Linked DNA regions of Tamandua tetradactyla. The protein of the gene in region 1 purifies or fractionates together with the protein of each later gene. This does not show direct contact. Links are inferred from orthologs where the notes say so. Each region holds a gene or a part of one and is shown on either strand. Other genes may lie near its edges.

Region 1 (8,166 bases):
ATTCCTGCCACCCAGAGCTGGGGAGAGGGGAATGAGCCCGGGGTGGGGGTGGAGGGCACCTCTGAACCCAGCTTTCCCGACTCGCAGTCCACGCCCCTCCCCCTCCACTCGAGGAATGGAGACACAAGACCCCAGAGTTACCAGAGACAAACCAAACAACCGGGAGTCAATTTGCCCTCGCGTTTCATCATCTGCAGGGCATTTCCTAAATTAATCACTGTCTGGGCTGGCTGTGGCGAGGAGAACTGGGGAGCGGCAAGAAGGAATGCGGAGCCCTCCCGACAGATTCCGGCTCCCGATGCTGTGATGGGAGCAGGGCACGCCCCCGGGGGCTTCTCGTCCTAGGGGTTTGTCCCGGCCAGGCCCCTCCGGATCACGTCTCTTCTGGTACCAAAGGGCTGGGCCGTTACTCAGACCCGCGCCCGCGACCCGGCGGCGAGCCTCTCCCTTCCTAAGCAAGCAGGCGCCTCGGGTCCCGGCCTGAGCCCACGCTCGCGCAAGCGAGCAAACAAAGCCAGAGGCAATTACTTGCACCTCACCCGAGCCCGCGACGCCGCCCGACCCCGAATCCCGGCCGACCCCGAGCACCTGGTGGCCGCCGCGGTCCCCGGGGCAAGCGGGCGAGCGCAGCCGGAGGCCCGGCGAGGTCTTTAAGCGTCCCGGGTCCGCCTCCCTCCGGCCCTCCCTCGCCCTCTTTGTTTTCCAAATACTCCGGTGCTGACGTCACCGGGCTGGACGGCTGGCTGCATTCTTCCCAAGTGAGAGCCGGGCCGTGGCTCCAGAGAGGATTTTCCAAGGAAGACAAAGAGGAATTCTTGGGCTGGCTGGGAGGTCAAGACACCTGTGAGCCCCACCCCCGCGTCCCCCGCCTAATCTAACCAGCCCCCAGGGCCCTGCAGCTCGAACAAGAGGCGGCGCTCCCCCCTCCTCCCCGACCTGCGACCCCAAACACGCACCCAGCTCTCCCCGGAGTGTGCCCCTTACCACTGCCCCTGGGGACCCGAGCGCCTCTGACAGCTCCGCGGGCGCAGGGCGCGGCGCCACCCGGGAGGAACTACCCTTCCCCGGCTTTGCGGATGCCCCGAAAGGACGCCCCGAGCCCTGAGGACGCTCGGACCGCCGGGATCCGGTTCCCGGAAAAGGCCGGGTTGCCCCGGAGCCCCCGCTTGGGCCGGGGCGCATTTCCTCGGGCACTCTCGGGAGAGCAGAGGGGCCTTCCTTACCGCTGCGGCCCGTGGGCGCCCGGCGCCGTCACACCCGGCGACCCGACCCCGTCCGACTGGGCTCAGCTGGGCGGCGGAGGTGTGCACCCGGCGGTGGCGCCGACGCTCTGGCTGCTCCGGGCCCCAGCGCGCAGCCCCAGGGTCGGCCCGCGCGGGAGGCGGCTGCTATGCCAGGAATGTGAGAGTTTCAGGTTCCCCCTTGGGATCAAAGCGAACCACAAATAACCTCTCGGCGCGCCGCCCTCCTTCGCCCTCCGCCTCCTCCCTCTCCCTCCTCCCGGCCCTCGCCTTCCTCCCGGCGGGCGGCGCTGCGGGCGGGGCGCTGGGCGGGCTCTGAGCTGCGTCCCCCGGGCCGCCCGGGACCCCCGTGGCCGCGCTGCTCCCGCCCCCCACCCGTCCCCCACCCGCCCCCCGGCCTTCTTGTCCGAGCCGTTGGTGCCGATTTTCTCCCACCTCGCCACCCGTCCCCTCGCTTTCCTCTCACTCCTTCATCCCTAAAAGCATTGGCGAGACGACACGGAGCGGTGTACACGGCGTGTCCCGCAGAGCATCCGAGGGGCGGGGGCTGGTGTGTGTGTGCGTGTGTGTGTGTGTGTGTGTGTGTGTGTATGGGGTGCGGGTGGGCTGCATAGAGGTCCGGGTCCGCCCGGCCTGGGCCCCCCCGCAGGCGGAGACGGCTCTGCGTTCAGCCGCGAGCCTCTTCCCTACCCCTACCCCCCGCCCCTCCCCGCTCTGCTTTCACGCCCAGCGGCAACCTTTGAATTACATTTTTATTGTTTACAAACACCTTCGCCAGCTCTTTTAGGACCTGTCTCCCTAAGGAAGTGTGAATCTGGGCTGAAAAAATCCACTGGTTAATTTGACGCGCCTAACCAACTGAATCACCCGCCGCCAGGCGCTCGGCCCCACTCGTCCCCCAGGTGGTCACCAGCGCCCCTTTACGCAGAGCGCCTTGGGCCACCACTGCTTTTTGCGGCAGTCATCCCATCCAGCACCCCCCAGTTCCCCAAGGGAGCTCTGTTATCATCCCTGTGTTACACGGGAGGAAACCGAGGCTAGCAGAGGCTAAGTAGCTTGCCCAGAGTCTAATTCATTCTAAAAGCTCTTCAGTGGCCACCAGATCCGAGGGTGCCGAGGAGGGCAGGGTAGGTGCTGCTATCCCCCCCAGCCCACCCCATGGCCACCTGCCCTCTCCTGGTTGCAGCCTCTTCTTCACCTCCCCCCCCCCCCCCACACACACACAGCCTGCCTGCCAGCGGCTCTCCCTTGGGTCCCCTGCTGCTGCTGCTGCAGTTCTTCCACGTGGAATCCGCTCCTCTGCCCCCATGCCCCTTCCTCCTTCCACCCTCCCACCAGGCTGGTCACTTGTGGAAACCCCATGCCTTCCTCCCCAGGGCTCTGTTCTATCTCTGAGCCCTGACCACACTGGGCCCTCCACAGGTCCACGGGGGGTCTACCCCTGGCCGGGTCCTCCCCCCACCGCTTATCCCCCCACATGGAGTTTGCAATTCCCAGAGCTGCTGGAGGAGGTGGAGACAAGAAAAGTAAAGTCCCCCACAAGACAGGTATGCGCATCTGCATTTCAAATAGTGATTAGATTTGGGATGAATGAGAAAACAAGCCATTGGGCCAAGCTAAGGGAGGCTCGCCCCCCTCCCCACTAGCAGCACATCACAAAGAGAAGCCATGGCCAGGGTGCCCCTGTGCCAGCTGGGATAGACTAGGTAGGAATTTTAGAAATGAAAAGGAAGAGAGGAAAGGGCCCCAGGCTGTCTTACCCCCCGGCTGTGGATGGCGCTCCTCTTGGAAACACTGGACGGAGGTGTGAGAGTGTGTGTGTGTGTACGTGTGCACTCTGGGGTTGCAAAATCAGGGGAAAGGCCACATGGTGCAGTCCTGTCTCTCAGGGTGGGGGCAGGGAGCACCTGAAGAAATGCCTGACCAACATTCCTGAGATGGTTGCAGAAAGGGGCCAGCTCAGGGCAGCTAGTCAAAGAGGTAGGTCTTGCAGTGGGAAGCCTGCTTCGGCCTCTGAATAAGGCTCCCCCATGCTGATAACCTCTGTGTCCCTGGGGCTAAGGAGGCCTGGGGAGAGCCAGCCAGCCACAACAACAGAGAGGGGAGAGGGACCCCAAAACCTGGATGGGAAATTTACAGGTTTGTTTTTTTTTTTCCCTTCTTTTCTCCTCCACCTGTAAGGATGGAGGACAGAGCTTCTGCAGGCAAGGCAGGGCTGAGACCTCAGTGGATTGGAGCCTGCCTGAGCTGGCAGCCACCCCTGACTCTGCAGGGTGGTTGGGTGAGAGGGTGACCATAGCTCAGATGTGCTGGAGGCAGGTGTGCATAGGTGAACTCTAGGTTGGTCAGCCTGCTAGCACATAAATCTTCACTTATATCAGGGGAAGAGTGGCTTGCCACTGTGTGTGTATCTGACACCGAGTGAGCCAGTGCTTTCCTCCCAGCTTTGTCTCTCTCAGGCCTGGCCCACCTTGTCAGCCACCCCCATCACCCGCCCCTGCCCTCTGGCACAGGTAATGATTCTTCCCTGATGACAGTGTGGTGTGGATGGCTGGGTCTGGAATTCTGCCCAGGAAAGATGCAGAGGTGACCCAATTCTCAGAGGGAGCCAGGCCTTTGGTGTGGAGAGCGCAGCTCCCTGGGGTGTGGCCGCATAGTGGGTGTGGACAGGGCTTGCGGGAACCAGGTGCACACACCCACATCCCTCCTTAGCCTGTGCCTGGGACTGTGCCTGTGCTCTGGTCTGCACCCACAGAAATACAAAGGAGGGTGCTTAGCTGACCCTCGTCACAGCCCCTTCTGGGGAGCTGGGAAGGGAATGACCCCTCCTTACTTCCCAAATGGTCAGTCGATGAAGGAGGGGCTCCAGGCCCAGGGGGCACCATCAAAGGGGACTCTGCTGGTTGTGAGATTCCTCCTTCCAACCTTTCCTGGAGAATTTGACTGAACAGGAGGCCCACCAGCATCTGGGGCAGGAAGCAAATTCACGGGAAGAACCTGCACATTGGGGTGGGAGTTCCAATGCTCCAGTTCCAGGATCCAAAGCGGGATCCAGCTACTGCACCTCTCCCCTAGTCCGCCCCCTCTGCCCCCGGAGGTTTTTGCAGCGCCTTCTTTCACTGTCACCCCTGCCCCCACCTCCACTCCCAGGCATCAGGCCTGGAATTCGCATCAGGCAGAGTTTGCCTCGTGGAGTCTGGCGTTTACTCAGGCGGTTAGTTCCTCCTGAGATGGAACATCTGTGACATGGAGCCCCACAATCGTTGAGGTAAGAGGGCGCTGCCTTAAAGAGGGAAGGAGCCCCGACTTTGCAGAGTGCACGCGACTCTTGGTCCCCAGCCTTGCTTTGCAGCCCTTTGTTTCCAGGGCTTCTGCAGGCCCCAGGCTGAGGTGTTTCCTGCAGGGCGAGGTCCCACCTAGAGAGGGGGCTCTCCTCACCTCTCCCTCTTCCTTCCGCTTCTCTGGGGTCTATAACTGCCCAGAACCTCCGCCATTGTGTCGCGCACAGAAAATGTGTCTAATGAGTAGCAATGAGTAAATGGACAAAGTGGGGGACTATATTTCCCTTCAGTTTATTCCTGCCTAGGTGGCCATCCAGTTGGGGAAGAGGACAGGTGAGGGCCTTATTCCAGGCAGTGAAGAAGGCAGGACCACTTAGAAATATTAACACCTGCCTTCTCTGCAAAGCTACCTTGTGCTGATTTGGTGGACATGCCATTGTTGCCTGGAAAGACCCTCTGCTTTTGGGAAGAGGCCAACTGTGACAGTAGGGAGGACCTCCTAGGATGTAGGGTGGAGCCCAGAGCATGCCTTTTGCTACTGGGGCAGGGCCAGTGTGATGGAAGAGTGCCCCCTAGTGACCCTCATCCCCAGGAGAAAGTGTCAGCTGGGCTCAGGGCTCCCAAGGTAGCCCTTGGGTCCTTGATTGGGGGGGAAGATGTTTGGACAGGGTTTCATCCTGGGGAACAGGACTTTCTCCTGTAAGAACGGGCCCGAGTTGTGTTTCTGAACTTTCTTCTTGCTTTAGCCTGCCTTGGGCTTTCACACAGTCTAGCAACCTTCTGTCATTGACATTGAGAAAACACCTTGAATGCACTCACTTACTCACTCACCGTTCCATGCAGTTATTTGCTCTTGGATTTTGTGTATTCATTCGACAAATATTTCCTGAGCTCCCACTCTGAGCCAGGCCCAGTTTATTGAAGGGGGTTTCCATCCTTGTAGAACTCATGGCCTGCTGTGTTCACAGTCACAACAGGCAAGTACACTACAGAGTGGAGACTCCCATCTTGAAGGAAGGTACCTGGGCATGTGGAGGAAGTCATAGCAGGCTTCCTGAAGGAGGCGTTTTACAAGCTAAGTGCTAAAGACCAAGTAGAACTGTGACATGTCAACCCATAGGCTGGGATCTGGAAAACCTGCATAGAAGCACAGATCCATATCCCTTGGTTTGCTAAAACAGGTGCAGAAAGTATTGAGCCATTCTTGAGTGGCTGCTGACCTCCTGCCACTTATATCTCCTTTCCCAGGAGTAATTCTAGTTTGCTAGCTACTGGGATGCAATATATGAGAAATGGAATTGCTTTTAAAAAGGGGAATTTAATAAGTTGCTAGTTTACAGTTCTAAGGCCAAGACAATGTCCCAATTAAAGCAAGTCTATAAAAATGTCCAAATTAAGGCATCCAGGTAAAGATACCTTGGTTCAACAAGGCTGATGAAGTTCAGGGTTTCTCTGTCCACTGGACAGTCACATGGTGAACAGGGCAACATCTGCTAGCTTCCTCTCCAGGCCTCTTGCTTCACGAAGCTCCCCAGCAGCGTTTTTCTTCTTTATCTCCAAAGGTCTCTGGCTGGTGGGCTCTGTGGTTCTCTCATCATACTGTAGTGGTTCTGTGGCTCTCTCCTCATTCTCAAAAGGCACTCTCTCCAAAATATCTCCTCTTTTATAGGATTCCAGTAAACAAATCAAGACCCACATAGAATGGGTGGAGATATGTCTCCATCTAATCAAATTTAATACCCACAATTGATTGAGTCACATCTCCATGGAGATGACCTAATCAAGTTTCCAACCTGTAGTACTGAATAAGGATTAGAAGAGACCGTTGCTCCTACGAGATTGATTAGGATAAAACATGGCTTTTCTGGAGTACATAAATCCTTTCAAATCAGCACAGGGGTAACAAAGAGATACAAGGAAACCTTTGGGGGTGATGGCTATGTTTGTTATCTTGATTGTGGTTTACACATATAACAAAACTTATTGATAAATAAGTTATTTAAATAGATGCAGTTATTTTATATCACTTATTCCTCAATAAAAAATGAAAAAAAAAGTCAAATAGTACCATAAGGCTTATAATAGATGCAGTTATTTTATATCACTTATTCCTCAATAAAAAATGAAAAAAAAAGTCAAATAGTACCATAAGGCTTATAATATAAAAAGCAGTCCCTTGCCTCGCTCTTCTCCCCACCAAGTCCCATTCCCAAGAGGCACCCACTTTCAACTCTTTTAGATGTCATGTTATTTCACCCATATATTTGTTAAAAAAAAATCCACAAATTCTTATATATCATGGTTTTTCTGTTTTAGGTGTTATCTATCTATACTTCCTAGATGAAAGATAAGGGTCTAGGTGGCTTAAACACACATAAACACTTCCTTCCCCTCACCTTCTTAGAATAGTCATGTGACACTTTCTGGATAAATTACTATTCAATGTTTATATCATTATGACTGTAAATATTGTGAACAGCTGAATTACCTAGTGTCCCATGATTATATTTCCTGTCTTACATATTTTTTTTGTTGTTTTTATTGGAGTTCAATATTTACTTCACTTCTTCATTTGCTTGGTTTTCTATGTATTTCTCCTAATTTATGCCCGTACTGATGAACAGAATACCACTGGTATTGAGTCACATCTCCATGGAGATGACCTAATCAAGTTTCCAACCTGTAGTACTGAATAAGGATTAGAAGAGACCGTTGCTCCTACGAGATTGATTAGGATTAAAACATGGCTTTTCTGGAGTACATAAGTCCTTTCAAATCAGCACAGGGGTAACGAAGAGATACAGAATACCACTGGTATTCTGTTGGGTCCATTTTGGTTCTGGTGGCATCCTTCCCAGAGGATAAGGATGGGCTGCTCTTGGTTCCCACCAGAGAGCCTGCATCCCAACATCTCCCTCCATCCCTATCATGAGCCTTCCCCTTGCTTCCCTTCTTTTTGGTGGATTGCTTGGGTTCCTCTTTTTGGATTTAGTCTTCTAGTAGCTTCCTAAGGATGGATCTGTGGGGGGGACCCTTTGAAACCTGAGTCTCTGAAAATGTCTTTAACCTCTCACGCTATTGATAGTTTGCTGGGTATAAAATTCTAGCTAGACATACTTTTCTCAGTGTATTTTGAAGGAGCTGCTTCATTGTCTTCTTTTTTTTTATTTATTAAATTAATTTTTAAAAATATGACAAGAAAGAAAAACAAACATTCTTAACATATGATCATTCCGTTCTACATATATAATCAATAATTCACAATATCATCACATAGTTGCATATTCATCATCATGAATTTGCATCAATTCGATCAAGAAATAAAAAGACAACAGGAAAAAATTCATACATACAATACCCCTTACCCCTCCCTTTCATTGATCACTAGCATTTCAATCTAAATGTATTTTAACATTTGTTCCCCCTATTATTCATTTTTATTCCATATGTTGTACTCATCTGTTAACAAAGTAGATAAAAGGAGCATCAGACACAAGGTTTGCACAATCACACAGTCACATTGTGAAAGCTGTATCATTATATAATCATCTTCAATAAACATGGCTACTGGAACACAGCTCTACATTTTCAGGCAGTTCCATCCAGCCTCTCCATTACATTTTGACTAACAAGATGTTATCTAT
Region 2 (7,445 bases), on another chromosome or scaffold:
AAGGGACAGAGTCTGCTTTTTTGATTGGGGCAGGACAGAAAAAGTCACCTTCCCTAATGTATGGGAAGAATTTTTGTTCTCTAGAAAAATCAGATTTGCCGAGAAGGGCAATGTTGGTGCTGACTGGTACATCGATTCAGGGGTGGGTGGGGAGGAGGAATAGGAAGAGATGTTGGGGTGGGGGCTGGCTCAGCCCTTCCAGCTTTCCTTGATGGCTAGTGCAGAGGTGCTCAGAGATTGCTGAAAAGTTCATTTTTCTTGCTCCAGTACATCTGCGGGGCCTGTTTGCAGCGGTATTTCTGATGTGTTCTGTCTTTGGCCACATCCAGGGAGATGGTGAAGTCCAGGATGGGGTCAGAGGAGGAAGAGGATGCTGTGGGGTCCTGTTCTGGGACTGTCCTGGGGATTCAGCTCCTCACTGGTATTAGACCTCCTTTTAAAAAGTTTTATTGTGGATATATGTATCACCCAATTTTCCATTTTAACCATTTTTAAGTGTACAACTCTGTGGCAGTCCCAGTCAGGATAATCTCTTTCTGAGTCACTCATCTGATTGGGGACTTTATATCTGCAAAAAATCCCTCTCACCATGCAAAGTACAAAATCACTGGTGAATATCACACATACCACAAGTCTTGCCCACCCTCAAGGGGAGCATTATTCAAGGGAGTGGGTCACTGGAGGTTATCTTACAATTCTGCCTACCATACTGCTTATCTGTGGGTTCTAATTTCCTTTTTATGAAGCATGTGAATTACTTGTAAAATAAAGAAAAACAGAATAAAAGTTACTAAAAACAAGAACAAAACAAGCAAACCAGTTGCCCATGAAAAATACAAATGCTGCAGCATAAGAGATTTCTCTGGTGGGTCTTTATAGAAAGGATGCTGTCAGAACCTTTGTCAGAATTCCTTGGGGCTAGTTCTTATTACAGCTTCTCTGCAGGACACTACCTTCGTGCCAATGTGTAGGAAAAGTAATTCTGCAAATAGCTACAATGACAATGCAGCAGTCCAGATTTAGGCAGAATGGCCACAGTCTAGAGTTCACATGTAGCATCTAGGACAAATTGACTTAATCTGGGCTCTATAGATGTGCTTTGGAGGAAACTTTCCATGAACTTCTGGAAAGCATATGCAAAATTTTGTGCATGTGTGCATTCCTTTGAGAAGGTCCACTGATTTCATCAGATTCTCGGTAGAATGTTTTTGATTAAAAAAGAGCAAAGAATCACTGCTCTAGGGCAGGGTCCCTTTATTTTGGCACTATTGATATTTTGGGTTGAATAATTCATTGTCATGGAAGCTGTCCTGTGAGTTGCAGGATCCTTAATACCATCCTGAGGCCAGGAGCATCCTCTAGCTGTGACAACCAAAAACCTTCAGACATTGCCACATGTACCCTGGGGGCAAAATCCCTCTCGGATGAGAACTGCAGTATTCTTTGGAGCTCAGAAGAAAGCTTTCTTCCAAGATGTATTAGTTAGGGTTCTCTAAAGAAACAGACTCAACAGGGAACACTCACAAATATAAAATTTATAAAAGTGTCTTATGTGACCGCGGGAATGCAGAGTCCAAAATCCACAGGGCAGGCTGTGAAGCCGACGATTCCAATGGAGGGTCTGGATGAACTCCACAGGAGAGCCTCACCAGCCAAAGCAGGAAGGATTCTTCTCAATCCTCCTTAAAAGGCTTCCAGTGATTAGATTGGGCATCACTCATTACAGAAGACACTCCCCTTTGGCTGATTACAAATGGAATCAGCTGTGGATGCAGTTGACATGATCATGATCTAATTCTATGAAATGTCCTCATTGCAACAGACAAGTCAGCACTTGCCCAACCAGACAAACAGGTACCACCACTTCGCCAAGTTGACACATGAACCTGACCATGACACAAGCTTACTCAGGTTATTGGCAAAATTCAGTTCCTTGGGGTTATAGGACTGAGAATCACTCCCCCTCCCCCACAACACACACACACACACACACACACACACACACACACACTTTGGCATGCATGAGAATCCCCTGGAGGGTTTGTTAGAACAAGGCCCCTGGGTCCCAACCCCAGAGTTTTTGATTCAGTTCTTCTGGGGTGGGGCCTGATAATTTGCTTTTCTAATTAGTTCCCAGGTAAAGCTGACAGTGCTGTTTTGAGAACCACTGGTCTTCTGGAAGAAATGGCTGAATTCGATGTAAATCAGGCTTAAATCTGGATTTAAAGCCGTCTGGGTGGAAGAGGCAGCTCTATCAATTATGATCATGGTAGAGATGATAATTACCTCATTTTAGCCATAACAGTTTCTTCCCGGATAAATCAGGGATAAAATAACTACCAAAAGGAGTTTTGGTAAAGATGAAAAGAAACAAAGTATGCAAAGCACTTTGCAGGGTGCCTTATATTGTAAGCTCTTCATGTATGGTAGCTATTGATTGGGCTCTCATCATTGAGAACATAAGCATTTCCTCATGTCCTGCATTTATTCACTCAGTAGATATTTATTAACTGGTGTCTATGTACTGGTTCTTTCTTAAGATGCTGTACCTTATTTCACTGTACCCTCCTCAAACCCTTATCTGGTGGGTATTATCATCATCTGCTTATTCTTTGTGAATGGCAATTCAATGCCTATATAATATTCCATCTAATTTTATTCCTGGCCCCTCCCTTCTGAGATTCAGACCCATAGGTATACCTGGATGATCTCCCGGAAGGTTGAATTCAAGCTTTTACCTCTAACACACAGTGCCTAGCACCTAGTAGGCCTTCCACAAATAGGAGCTATTACTGGCCACCTACGTTATTTTTTAGTCCCTGTTGTTGAATCCACCTCCTTCCTTTACTCCTCCATTAGCTCCCAGAGTCACTTATTTTCTGTCAGTAGTCTTGGCCCTGGGTTAAAGCTCTGATTTGCTGTCCCAGTGGGGAGGCCACAGGAGAATCGAGTCCTGTTCTTTCACCCGCAGGGAAGAACTGAAGCAATGAAAATGAAGACACTCCCACGCCAAGCCAGTATTGCCTAGAAAAATCAGTTCGGTGGAGACAATTTGCTAGCTGCATCCAGGACATAAAGTTAAGTTCCCCAGATGAAATCTCTCTTGGTGTGCCAGTAAATGATTGCTGAGGCAGGGCTGGTGTTTCATGGCACAGCAGGGGCTTGCCGGGAACAGCTAGATTTATCCATTATCCACTTACAGCAACAGTGTCTGGAGAGTGCTCCAGAAGTGTAATTCACGTTTCGTGGCTGCAACAGGGAGCAATTTGGAAGTCACAACCAGGGAAACATGGTCGTGACACCAGCAGGCTCTTGATCTGCGAGACCTAGGTTCAAATCCCAGCTTTGCCTCTCCCTATTCCAGTAAGTTCACAGTCTTCTACCGAGCCTCTCAATTTCTTCATCTGTAGGGCGAGAGCGATGCTAATGATTATTAACATTTAAGGAGCACTTACGGTGTGCATAACATTGCTTCTATTTGGATAGTAATGATTATTGTAAAATAGGAAAATATAATTTATTAATTTAATACAGAAAGGTGTAATTGCCTCTCACACCCGTTATAACTCTTATAATACTAAACAATAATTAATACACGTGTATAGTTCGAAGATGCAAATCACATAAAGTACAAAATGAGAAATGCTTTCAATTTTACGACAGTATTGGACCTTCAAAAACAGCAGTATCACAGCAGTCAACCTATTGTTTGTCAGACACCGTTCTAAAACTTTATATGTTAACTCGCTTAACATTGCGAGGTAGGCACATTATTATCCCCCTTCGATAATATTATCTCTCCTAAAGCGAAGCAGAGAGATCTGGCTGGATAGTGCCGACAACCTAAGAAGACTCCACAAGCGTTCTAAGTGTTCGTGAGGTCACTATATGTAATTAAGGGCCAAACAGGAATATTCAACGCGTGTCCGAAACGCACTTTCCTACGGCGCGACGCTCGCGCGTGCTGCGTCCAGAAAACAGTGCCTCAGAGGACCAGGGGAGGACCTGGCTCCCTCGCTGGAGCCAGCCCGTGCGTGGGGACGCAAGAAAGGCGCGTCGGGAGCTGACGCCTCAACCAATCTTGCTAGAGAAGGCGTGAGCCTAAGAACAAAAGTGTTCGGAGTGGCTGCTGCTCCAGCCACTCAGGGCCGAGTCCAAGCTCTGCATCTCCAGTTAGGGCGCAACTTCTAATTGATGGAGCCGCTCTGAAGGAGGCGGGACGGAGCTGGAAAGCCCCGCCTCCCTTGGAGTTTTCAACCAACCGCACAGTCGCCGGGCTCCGCAGGGTGGCCCAGCAACCGCCGGGTTCGGTTGCGCTGAGAGAGGGGCCTGAGGGCGGGGCGGGAGCGGGCTGGGGACTCGGGTGAGGGGACGCTTCTCGGGGGCGCGCGGAGCGGGAACGGTGACAGGCCCGCGCGCGCGAGCGCGTCGCTCCCGGCTGCAGCTCGGCCCTGCCACTCCGGTCGGCCGCTGAGAGGCGCGCGGGGTCTGGGCCGCCGCCGTCGGGGAGGGCCCCATTCCCGGAGGACCCGGGGGTCCCGGGCATCCCGGGCGTTCCCGAGCGCCGGGCTGCGCCCGCCCCGTTAGTACTCGCTCGCGTCCTCTACACGCGGCGGGCAGGACCCGCCCCCCGACGCCCCTTTCGGCTCCGGGTTTCAGGGTCTTCGCGGCCCATGCGGGCCGCTAGACGCCCGCGCCGCAAAGACAGCTCCCGGGCCGGCCGGCCGGCCACCATGGTGGCCCTGAGGCCTGTGCGGCTCCTCCAGGGGGGCTAAGAGATCCAGAGCGCAGGCTTCGGGGCGGGGGTGGTGGTGGCAGGGGGCCCGGACCCGACTCCCGCGCCATGGCCGGGGCCATCGCTTCCCGCATGAGCTTCAGTTCGCTCAAGAGGAAGCAACCCAAGACGTTCACCGTGCGGATCGTCACCATGGACGCCGAGATGGAATTCAACTGCGAGGTAACGCCCGCAGCCCCGACTGGCAGCGGTGAGGGGAAGCTGGGCCGAAACCCCTCTCCACCAAGCCCCGGCGCGGGGTTGGGCACCGACCGAGGCGCCGCTGCCACGGTGACAGTCCAGGTGGAAGTGTGAGGGATTCTGCTTACATCACCTGCTGATCGTAGGTAGAGAGGGTTAGAACCAGAAGGGTCTGTCTGGGCTTAAATCCTCGTGTTAAAGGTGTTTTCTCTTCCAGGGGCTTTGAGGGTTTGGGAGAACTTTCTTTCTGGAGGTTGTTTTCATTCATTGCTATTGGAAGAGGCTGGAAGCATCTGTGGCAGGGAATTATCGCTCTCAGTTTCGAGCTTAAGCTCTGAGTTTTTAACTTCATTAGGTAATGGAGTTTTTAACTTCATTAGGTAATATTATTAAGCACCCCAAGTATTGAAAGTTGCATCTTGTCTATTGGAAAGCCTGTCCTTGCTTCCTGTTTTCAAAGTTTAAATTTTCAGGAAAAGATTCTTTGACAGAAAGGATGGTGGCTTCTATTTACTTTTCACTATTACTCCAGGATGATAATAGTTATCGTTGTTGAATACTTTCTAAGTGTTAGTCATGCACAAATTTGATCTTCACAACACAAGGAGGTAGGTACAATTATTATTATCATTACCCCCCCCCAAACTATATATCTAGTAAATGGCAGAGTGGGACTTTGAACCAAGCTTTTAGTCAGCACAGTACTGTTTTCAGGTAATTAAGTTTTTGTTACTCAGAGTGTGGTCTACAGACCACAGCATCAGCAGCCTTGACCTAAGTCAGGGATTGGAAACTTTTTTTTCTGTAAAGGGCCACGTAGTAAATATTTTCGACTTTGTAGGCCATGGAGTTCTCTGTTACAACTACTGAACTCTTTAAGCCTACTGTTAAAGTGCAAAATCAGTCTTAGACAGAATTGACTTCCAGTATGACAATGGGATGGGCTCCACAGACCCACTGGGGTTCTCACCTGCCATGCTGGAGATTGGGCTTCAATTCCTTGAGCCTGCTTATGCAAAAAGAAAAAAAAAAAGGACAACAACAACAAAAACAATTATTTATTTATTTTGGCATGGGCAGGCTCCGGAAATCAAACCTGGGCCTCCGGCATGGCAGGTGAAAACTCTGCCACTGAACCACTGTTGCCCACTCTAAAAACAATTATTTTTTAGATTATTATTATTTTAACAATTATTTTTAGCTTTTGGAAATGGTCCTAAGGGTGAGTAACAAAGAAAGAAAATCTACTCAAAGTCAGTAAGAAAGACAGGCGTCTGTGGTATTTGAACCAAGACAGATCCCTCCCTCCCCACAACCAGCTCAGCAAGGTGGGACTGATAAATCCCAAGACTGGTACAGTCAAGACCACAGGGCTCCCTCTCCCTCCAGCTCGTATTTGGAGGGTTTTCTTCACGGGAGAAGCAGGACTTCAGTGTTTCAAATCCTGTCCCCAGCCACCTGTTGCTGTGGCTAAGTCCTGGGTGAATGTGGTCTAGAGGTGGTAGCTCTAGCACATGAGATGGTGGTTCCATGCCAGGAGACGCAAGCCCAGTGCAAGATGTCCCCAGTGCAAGATGTCACTAAGAGAGCTTGCTAGTATCCCCAAACCCAGTTCCAGAGCCCTAGTTCAGAATCTTTTGTCTTGGTAGGAAAAGCAGGTCATAAAACAGATGTTTCCTAATCTCTTCCCAAAGGACTGACATCGTTTGCTACAGAGCATTGAGAAGTTTGTGCCTAAGGGTGCTCTCAGAGACAGTGGTGTATGTGGAAAATATTCATGGATTTCATGAAAATTCAGCCTAGGTTGTTTGCTGGGTAGTTTTTGGGAAACAATAGGGGAATTGGACCCCTGAAGGAGCCCTTCTGTGATCTGAATAAATATCACATACTGATCTGAGAAGCTATTCCCTCAAAGGAGCCATAGTTCGATTAGGTTAGTTTGTATAGCAGTTTATTTCTCAGGGTATTGGTGAAAATAATAGACACATCAACCAGTAATTAGTGTAGCTTTATGACTGGGTATGGTCAGGGAAAGAGAGGAAGAGACCATTACGCAAACCACCATCATCCGAGGATGACTGGGGCATACCCAAAGCTTTCTGAAGAGCAACATCAGAGCCTTAGTCCTATAGGGAGGGGGAAATAGACTTCCCTAAAATAATCTAGCCTGTCAACAAAACATATACAAGCAAATAACAAGCCCTTCCCCTCTGAGGGGAGGGTAGTACCCAGAATTACTACAATATATTATCTAAAGTGTCTAGTTTCTAACAAATAACATTACAAGGCATGCAAAGAAACAGGAAAATATGACCCAAGTGCTAGAAAAGAAAGCAGGCAACAATTACTCTCTGTGAGAGCAATCAGATGTCCAATTTAACAGACAAAGACTTCAAAGCAGCCATTAAAAATATGTTCATAGAACAAAATGAGAACTTGGTTAAAGAAGTAAAGGAAGATATGCTGACAA
Region 3 (8,617 bases), on another chromosome or scaffold:
CTCGGTTTTTCTGTTTACTTCATGTCCCTCTTTCTCTAACAACCTCCCTTCTTTGTCCGAAGTCCATTCTCTGCATGCCTTAAATACCAGGCTTTTCTCGTGACTTTGTTTCTGCCCTTCTCCCCTTCCAGGTATCTTTACCTCAAACATCAGTTCTTCCTCACACCTCTGTCTTTCTGAAGCAGTATTAGCCCTGGGACAGAGTTTTTCGAGTTCCAGCTCCAAACCCAGAAACTCTTCTTGGCCTGGAGTTATCAACTATCAAATACAATCTGCAGTGACTGCTTCCTGACTTTTTAGATTTTCCTTTTCTCTCCGAAATTTGGCAGCCTCTTTGTCACTGACCCCCTCCTGCCTCTGCATGTGAACCCACCTTATCATAATCTCATCACTTTTGTGATCAAAACCCATTTATGAATCATGCAGAAGATAACAGATAAGGCTCAGTTTTTCTTTTCTGATCTGGCTGATAAAGTAAAATGGCTGGTCTTAAAAGCAACTGCTAAGAAATGACCAAAACAACATTTAGTAGTTAATTTAAAATTCAAAGCTAAAAAGGGAATGTGAAAATGGTTCTCTTGCAATTACACAATTAAATATTTATTGCCAATTTAGATTAACTCAGCTGTTTCCCCAGTGACTTTGAAAATGTTAATTTTATTATAGAAAAAAGTTTGAGACAAGGGTTTGGACTTTACACTTTTTTGTTCTCCCTAAAGCAAGTGTTATCAATGTTTATCCCACAAGATTCAATGTGATTTTTTAATGGAAAGTTTTGAAGCCTATAGATAAAGTAAAACTTCACCTTTTCAGTGGGATTTTTCTTTCAGTTACACAGTTACAGACACAACACCATTTTGCTCATGTCTGCAAAGGAAACAGAACTTGCAGCTGACTATAAATGAAATGAGAAATAAAGTAAATAGTTGGCGTTGCTGTCATAGCTCAGGCAGCATAAAAAGTAAACCAACAGGAGGTAGTAAGAAAAGAAAGTCTGTTTTAGCAATCCTTCTCTTAGTAATGTAAAGTGTCAACATAAGAATTCTTTAAATGCAGAATGTGATTCGTATCTTGACAGTGTTTCTTTGAGCTCTTCTGGGAATGAATCTTCTCAAATTATTGAGCAATTCTCACTTATGCAATCACATACTTGGTTACTCATCTGAGAAGCAGAGTGGCTATTCAGAGAATGAAGCTGTGCTCCATGTCACTGAAAGCAGCTGGAAGGGCAGGTCCTAGGAATGGCAAGTCACCCTGCACAACTTTCTGGGACTCTCGACCTTCTCCTTTATCTGCACAAGGGGTTTTCACCGCGTTTTCCAGGAGATTCTGTTTTCCAAAATAGCTAGAAGTTAAGCATTTAAAAATAAATTAAAATCAGAAAAAAAGTGTACTCTATCATAATTTTAACATTGGGAAACATGTAAGAATTGAAATTTTACACTGAGGATTTCCCCCTGGTATCCAAATTTTATTATGTTAAAAAAAAAAAAAAGAGTTCATCGTTGAAAAGAAGCCCCCAACTAAGAGGAATGATATTGTTAATTCTTCTCTGCAAGTTCCCCCAAGCGTGCAGAAGCCCAAACTCCAAAGGCGATTGGAACAGGATATCTCCCTGTCTGGCCCAGAGTGGTTGGTTCAGGAAAATGATGGCATTTTAAACTTTGATATTGGCGCGTTAATGCATCCTTTAAGAATGCATTCAATCCATTGAATTTAGCTATTTTAAGAGTCTCTTTATGCAGTTTTGGGGAGGGGGGAATTTATAATCTAGTTAAGGAGACAAAATATATGGCTATGAAACCAGCCTCAAACAAATTAAACAAATCTTGGGTAGCTCATTTTCTTCCTGTCTTTCTTGGCCTTTTATAAATGGACCCCACTCTGCTTTCTCACTCCTCCCCACAGAATGCATCTCTCTGTAGTTAGGCAGATTTGCTAAGTCTCCTCCACACTGATTACAAACAAGGAGGAATTTTTCTTTTCAAGAAGCCAAAAACTGTGCCTAAAGGCCAACACCTGCTTTCCAGGATTAAGGTATAGGGAGGCTGGGCTGGTAACCAGGTTTCTTGCATTCAGAGCCAAGGAGTGTGGGCAGGTAGCCTCAGGTCTCTACAGAGACCACCTCTACCCACATCTGGGACTTCAGGGGCCTTGCTTTACAGGGAATTCCTTGTACTTCTTTGCCCTGGTTGGTGCTGGAGGCACATACCTTTGGGAAACCCTCTTTCTGATCCACAGAGTTTATTTCTCTTCCCTCAGACAAGGTGTAAGGGAGTGAATTTGGTTTAAGTTTCCTTATTTATAAGCACAGTGTAATCATATCTTCTCGAGATCACCTTGAGAGAGCTTTTACAATGCAGTGTTTCCCAGCTCCTACTTAGACTACCACGTTTGAAGCTCAGCTCTTTGATCTTGGACAAATTCCTTGGGCTCTTGGTGTTTCAGGGTCGTCTTCTACAAAATGGGGTTAATAATGACATGGTTGTTCTGAGGATTCAATGAGGTAATGCACAGACTGAGATCAGTGTTTGGTTCAGAGCAAGAGTACATACATATAGCCTATGTTGATTCATTAATTTATAGACTGCAAATTTGCAACTATTATAGGGTTTGTGCTCAGCTGGCCTTGTGGTTTTAGAATTAAACCAAGAGGTTTTCACCCGAATAAATGATATGGTTGTAGTGATTTAGCTGATTATTTAAAAATATTTTTGTGGTTTACAATTCTACTGTAGAGGACTTAGAAACTATAAGACAAAAATCACCCAGAATCACTACACCTAGAGACTGCCACTTTTAACATTTTGCTGTATGCATTTCTAGATTTTAATATATGTAAAATATATATTTATTGTTTTGCAATTTGTCACTTGCTTTTTTTTGAGCATATTTACCAGACTGGAAGCTCCACCAGGGGCTAAATCATGTAATTTTGCTCTCTGTGACTCCTAGTGCCTGGCTTAACACATGGCTTATAGCAGACACTCAAAAACAAAGAGAGGGCTGGCAGTGATGACTCAGTGGCAGAGTTCTTGCCTGCCATGCTGGAGACCCGGGTTCATTTCCAGGGGCCTCCCCATGTAAAATAAAATAAAATAAAATAAAAAAAACAGAGTGAGAGAGAATGAGTGACTCCACATCAGTAAACACACATCCACAAAGTCATGAATCAGAATATTCCCCATATGGAAATTTACTTGTTTCCAAGTTGTCTTAGTCTCTCTCTACATATGTATATGTGTGTATATACATATATGAAAAAAAATTAATGTAAAAAAACACAAAGAAGACTATAGCATGCATTAATGAACCTAGCACTCAGAATAAACAAATTTTAAAGATTTTTCCAGTTTTGCTTCATTTTTCTTTTAACTAAAAGGAAAAGCATGCCAATAAAATTGAAGTCCTTATTTTTCTCTCCCCTGTGTCATTTCTCTTTCCTTCTGATAGACAACAGCTGTCATGGATTTGGTGTGTGCTCTTGCTGTCCATGGCGATCCTTTTATAAAGTGTAGTATAGTTTCTGTAGCAATTTTTATTTATAAATACAGTATCAGAGTGTAGATGAACTTCTGCAATTTGCCTTTTTTCACTCCACATTGGTTTTGAATTCTATCCTTGATCACTTATCCTTTGACAAGCATAGAACTAACTCATTCATTTAGCTAGTGTATAAATTCCATCATTTGAATATACACCTTTTATTTTCCTACTCCCCTACTGTTGGACATTTGGGTTTCTCCTGATTTGTCGCTATTGCAAACCATGCTATAACAGTCATTGTAATGGCAAAATTTTATTAGGCATTTCACACGTTACTGTCATTAAGTTCCCTTCAGTTTACAGTATTTTATTTGACAATTTTTTTTCACCTTTTAAGAGAGAACAGGAGTAGGACTTTTAAACACATGCATACGATTGCAGCTGATCACATGGCTTAGGGTCCGGGTGGAGAATGTAAGACCTGAGTGTGTATGAGTGAAAAGACACAGAGAGATATTATTGGTGAATGCAAGAGGGGCTCAATTATAGAATATCTCCTACAGTGTAAGATTTTTTACAAATGAAATTGAATTCTAAATGGCATGATGGCGGTTTAGCTATGAGAGCTTAAAGAAGTGAGAAATCAGGGAGATTTCCTAGATGTGCTAAGACAGTGGCAGGCCTGAAAGCCTGGGTGCACTCTACAGAGACCAAGTACAGGAGGAAGGGTGGACCAGGACTGCAGGCTGGCTACGGTATTAAAATAGTACCGAGATAATGATTTTCATTACTCTTTCTTCCAAGATTAAAATTAAAAACCTTCAAAAGAGTTTATTAATTAAAAAGGAAATTGGATTGCCTTTTAAAGCCATAACAGCCCTCCCCAATGCTTTTACCACGGACTAGATGTTAGCAGAGCCAGAAACAGATTAAGGCTTTGATCTCCAGTTTCTTATTCCCACTCCGTATCTCTATACAATTCCTACAAATGTCCTTTTGCCAAATCCCTAACCCCCAAATGGAAAGAGTGTCATGGTCACGAAGTTGACATACAAAAAGCACAATCACTCTTGTTCATATACATTACACAGCTCTGTACGCCACAGAAGCCTGCTCATACACAAAATACACAGAGCAGGGAGGCTTGATTAAATTAAATCTGATTAAATTTCGAGAGGCATTAGGCGCCCTTCTTTATTTTTATTTGATTCCGTGATCCCAACAGCTGTGTGCCCTGTCTTTAATTTTAGTCGTTGGCCCTTTCTTGTAAGTTGGAGGCGCCTTCGCCCCTGTTAACTTTCTTCACCAAGCCCGGTGTGAGACACTTAAGGAAACTAGTGACAGAGTTGCCTCTGTCACTTCTCACAGAAGTGCAGTCGAGGGAGGGCGAGGCTGGAGTTGGGGTATCTGCCGGCCGGCGGGCCAGGCGGCGGCCCCGGGGCAGCGAGCACAGCCCGCCGGCCGGGCCGCCCAGCAGCAGGGCCGCCGAGCAGCAGGACCTCGCGGCCGACGGGAGCCCCGCCCGGGCTGGTATGCGGCCGGGAGTGACGCGGGAGGCGGGGTCACGTGACGCCCGTGGAATGCCAACAATGTAGCGAATGTCCCACTTGGGTTTGCGCGTTGGAACGGCGGCGTGAGCGCCTCGGGAAGATGGAGCAGCCGCTGCCCGCGCCGCCGCCGTTGGCTGGGGCTCCCCCTTCCTTGCGGGGCCAGCGGCAGCTCCCGGCCCCGGTGCGGGCTCTCCCGGCGCGAGGGGCCACGGGGTCGCGCGCGAGGACCCCCCCGAGCGTGTAGACGCCCCGGAGGTGAGGAGGCGCCAGGGGCGCGGGGGTGGGGTGGCGGCCCGGGGGCGGCTCAGTTGTCCAAAGTTCGCCGAGGCCCGGCGGAGCTCGAGGCTTCCTGTCCCCCGGCTGTCGGCGGCCGCGGAGGCTCCGGGAGGGGCGTCCGGCTCGGCCCGGCCGCTCCGGCGGGGGTGGGGGGCGGAGAGGGCGCAGGAACTTTCTGGGCGGGGGTGGGGGTGGGGGCTCCGCCGCCTTGTCTCCACTGGACTCCCTTGGCCGGCGCGTGTAAGGGGCGCCGGGCTGTCGGGGACCCCCTCCCCCCTCCCCACCCCGGCGGCGGGTCCTCGGGGCCTCTCGGAACCCGGGAAGTTTGCGGCGGGGCGGGGGCCGGGCCGGGAGCAGATCCCGGGGCTGCGCCGCTTTGTTGTGCGCCCGCCGCCGCGTCCCACTGGGTCGGAGCAGTGGGCCGCCCCGGGATCAGGGCGCGGGGTTCGCGACGTGCGCGGGGTACCCCCGCAGGGCTGTCGGGGCGCGCCGCTCGCCGTCACTTTCCGGAGGGGAACTGGGCGCTCGCACCCGAGGGCGCGCAGGCCCGGCTGGGTGGGGGGCGGTCCTGACAGCTGCGCCGGTTCCGCGCCCGGGTGCTGTCCCCGCGCCCCTGGCCGCCCGCCCCTCTCAGGCCGCGGCCGTGGGTGGAGGTGGCGGGGGGAGCCTGGCTGGCTCCTGGGTTCTCCGGCCAGCCCTGTGCTCCCGGCCTCTCCGCGTGGGCCTCCGAGTCTTCGCAGGACCCAGTGCGAGTTTCAGGCGCGCTTTCGCGGCGGTGAGAGTGGTGGCAGTTGCATAACGTGCCTGTCCTGCGTCCTGGTTTAGCAGGACTTTTCTGGGGCTAGTCTAGCTTTTCTGACAACTTCACAAGGGGTTAGTTCTCCAGCCAAACTCCGGAGATCCGATTCCGATATGGCCAATATCCTTGCCAATCTCTTTTCGTTGCGCCTGATTTTGGAAACTTCAGGAACTGCATCTCCCGGGGGTGCAGCCTCGGGGTGGGCAGAAGGGCCTAATCGGAGCCGCGGGTGGAGGGTTTATCGCAGCTCCCCAGTGCGCACGGGTCAAGGCGGGCGGAGACCCCGGTAGAGGTAGGACACACCTTATTGGCCCGGGGTCGCCGGGCAGTCGCAGCGGGACCCGGGTTACTGGGGTCAGGAGCTGCACAGTCTCCCCAAAACACGGCCTGGGGAAAGCAAGGCTCCTAGCGCGTTTGGAGACCGTGGGACGAGGAATACTCTTGCAAGCAGAGTCACGAGTTACACTTTATGTGTAGATTTCGTTGTATATAAAAAAAAAATTAGCGAGAACTTTTGCAGTTTCACTTTTCTGTAGGATAAGTGAGAGTGTTCTTAGTAGGGTGGTAGGCTAAGGCTTTTAAAAATTATTTAACCTTAACTGTTACAGCCAGAGAGTATACATTTAGCAGGTAAAAATCCGAACTAGAAGCTGGACTACTCTCTTCACAAAGTATTTAGCAAATAGGTACGTTCTTTAGGAAGGTTGCACACTTTTTAGTAAGAAACTTGTATATACTGAGATTTCAATGAAAAGCCACAAAATGTGTGTGATTCTGGTACAGATATTCTGGTTAAAATATTAATTTAGTACATGTGAGGGCCATCCTTTAGTAATGGAGAAGATAACTCGTGGCTTATTAGGAAGTTTGTACTGAATAGATCTTGCTCTTTTAACTGTTTTCTGTTTATTCTTGGCTTAAGTTCCCTGCATGATGGATCACTATTCGGGGGTAACTAAATCAGAAGGCTAAGCTACTTTGCATTTTATAAGTTTTTTCTTTAACTTTAACGACTGTTGTAGTAAGGTAATAATAGACAAATCTTCCAAAATAAGAATGCTGAAACTGTTAATAAGGCCTGTTTTAGATGAACTATAATTAACAAGACACCAAGTTATTCAGCCTCTCATAACATTTTGTCTGAGGTATATACTGTTTAATGAACACATCAGCATTCCTTTGAAATTAAATTGCTGGACATTTAATAAATCTCAAAATGTCAAGCAGTTAAAAAAAGTGTCTGCGTGAAGGCTGTCATGCAAAATTATTAAGAGGAATTACTAGAGCCATAGAATTTTAGAACTGGAAAAAAACTTTTTCCATTTAGTTTGAAATAGTTCTGGGTTAAGTGTAAATTGGAGCTGTACATATTTCTCAGCAAATCACAAGGTTGGTGGGAGGGATTTTCCTTTGGTAGGCGGGGAATGCTTTTATAAGAGGATGCCTTGTTATTTTAAATGCTGTGTTGTAAATAGCCAGCTCAGGGCTCCTAAATCCCATGGAGGGGTAAGTAAGCTGATAAATTCACCATAAACCCACAGGAAGTCAAGTAAGATTTGGGGACGCTTTGGGGTAGTGGTTGGGATTCTGTTTTATATTAGAAAACCAGTCGAACACAATTTTTGAGAGGCTTCTTTTTTATTTTTTCACCATTGTAATAGTGTCAAATTTTTGAATATTCCTAAATGACCTTTTTAAAAAAAGAGTGGGCTTGAACAGTTTGAAAGATAAATTTCAGTGCATTTGCTTTGTCCTGACTAAATAAATGGGCTTGATAATTCCTAAAGCGACTGATTTCCAGCTGGAAAAATTCTCTGAATCTCCTTCCTTTTTAAAAAGCCAATTGTTTAGTAACTGTCTGGATGGAACTGGGCCTCCAAATTGCACTCCTCCAGGGGGCACCATCTCCATTGTGTAATGTAAATGTGCCCTCTCTAATGGCTTCATTTACATAGAGTACTCTGAAAGGTATCTCTGGGAGTTTGTGAAGGTGGGCTGCTTGTTTCATTGTGTTAGTTCTATCCCGTGCTTTTAAGGCTAATGTTATTTTATTTATAAATAACCAAGTTTCATTTTGAAAGCATCAACTTAAAGATAATGTCGAAAATAAAGATATTGGGTATGATGATAACCTTAAGATGCCAATTTGACATTGCTTGATGTTTGCTATTCACTGTTTATTGGTTACCATCTAGAACATGCCAACTAAGTTGTGTTGTCTTTTTTTTTTTTTCTTCAGTTATTGAGTGAATACTGTTAGTACTGTTTATATGTTATGTAATACGTAGGAGTTTCTCTGGAGGAAAAATGCAAAACCTTAAATTTTGTAGCAGTGGTTTGTATTTATTAACACTGATTGTTATGATATTGTGTCATAATGCACAATCCTTAGCTCCTAAATAAGTTAAGTTGTGAAGGATCTTCTTAAAAATGTGATTTGTATTTTAAAGTTTATTATTTTTAGAGCAATTTTAGGTTTATAAAAATCTTGTGCAGAACGTAGAGT

What was found.
Region 2: the proteins of AMOTL2 (region 1) and NF2 purify together in Homo sapiens (affinity purification with mass spectrometry; 5 studies listed by BioGRID and IntAct, with this or other methods). This does not show direct contact. The link is inferred for Tamandua tetradactyla from reciprocal best matches to the Homo sapiens genes AMOTL2 and NF2.
Region 3: the proteins of AMOTL2 (region 1) and LATS2 purify together in Homo sapiens (affinity purification with western blotting; 3 studies listed by BioGRID). This does not show direct contact. The link is inferred for Tamandua tetradactyla from reciprocal best matches to the Homo sapiens genes AMOTL2 and LATS2.

The regions. Positions count from the first base shown.
Region 1 is NC_135341.1:78,174,426-78,182,591, forward strand, and holds the start of AMOTL2 (angiomotin-like protein 2), read right to left. Parts: upstream 3,094-8,166; 5' UTR 3,002-3,093; intron 1,736-3,001; exon of another isoform or gene 1,677-1,735; intron 1,417-1,676; exon of another isoform or gene 1,224-1,416; intron 1,111-1,223; exon of another isoform or gene 589-1,110; intron 1-588. UniProt on the Homo sapiens protein: Regulates the translocation of phosphorylated SRC to peripheral cell-matrix adhesion sites. Required for proper architecture of actin filaments.
Region 2 is NC_135331.1:33,434,012-33,441,456, reverse strand, and holds the start of NF2 (merlin), read left to right. Parts: upstream 1-3,939; 5' UTR 3,940-4,843; coding exon 4,844-4,957; intron 4,958-7,445. UniProt on the Homo sapiens protein: Probable regulator of the Hippo/SWH (Sav/Wts/Hpo) signaling pathway, a signaling pathway that plays a pivotal role in tumor suppression by restricting proliferation and promoting apoptosis.
Region 3 is NC_135330.1:186,945,902-186,954,518, reverse strand, and holds the start of LATS2 (serine/threonine-protein kinase LATS2), read left to right. Parts: upstream 1-5,075; 5' UTR 5,076-5,291; intron 5,292-8,617. UniProt on the Homo sapiens protein: Negative regulator of YAP1 in the Hippo signaling pathway that plays a pivotal role in organ size control and tumor suppression by restricting proliferation and promoting apoptosis.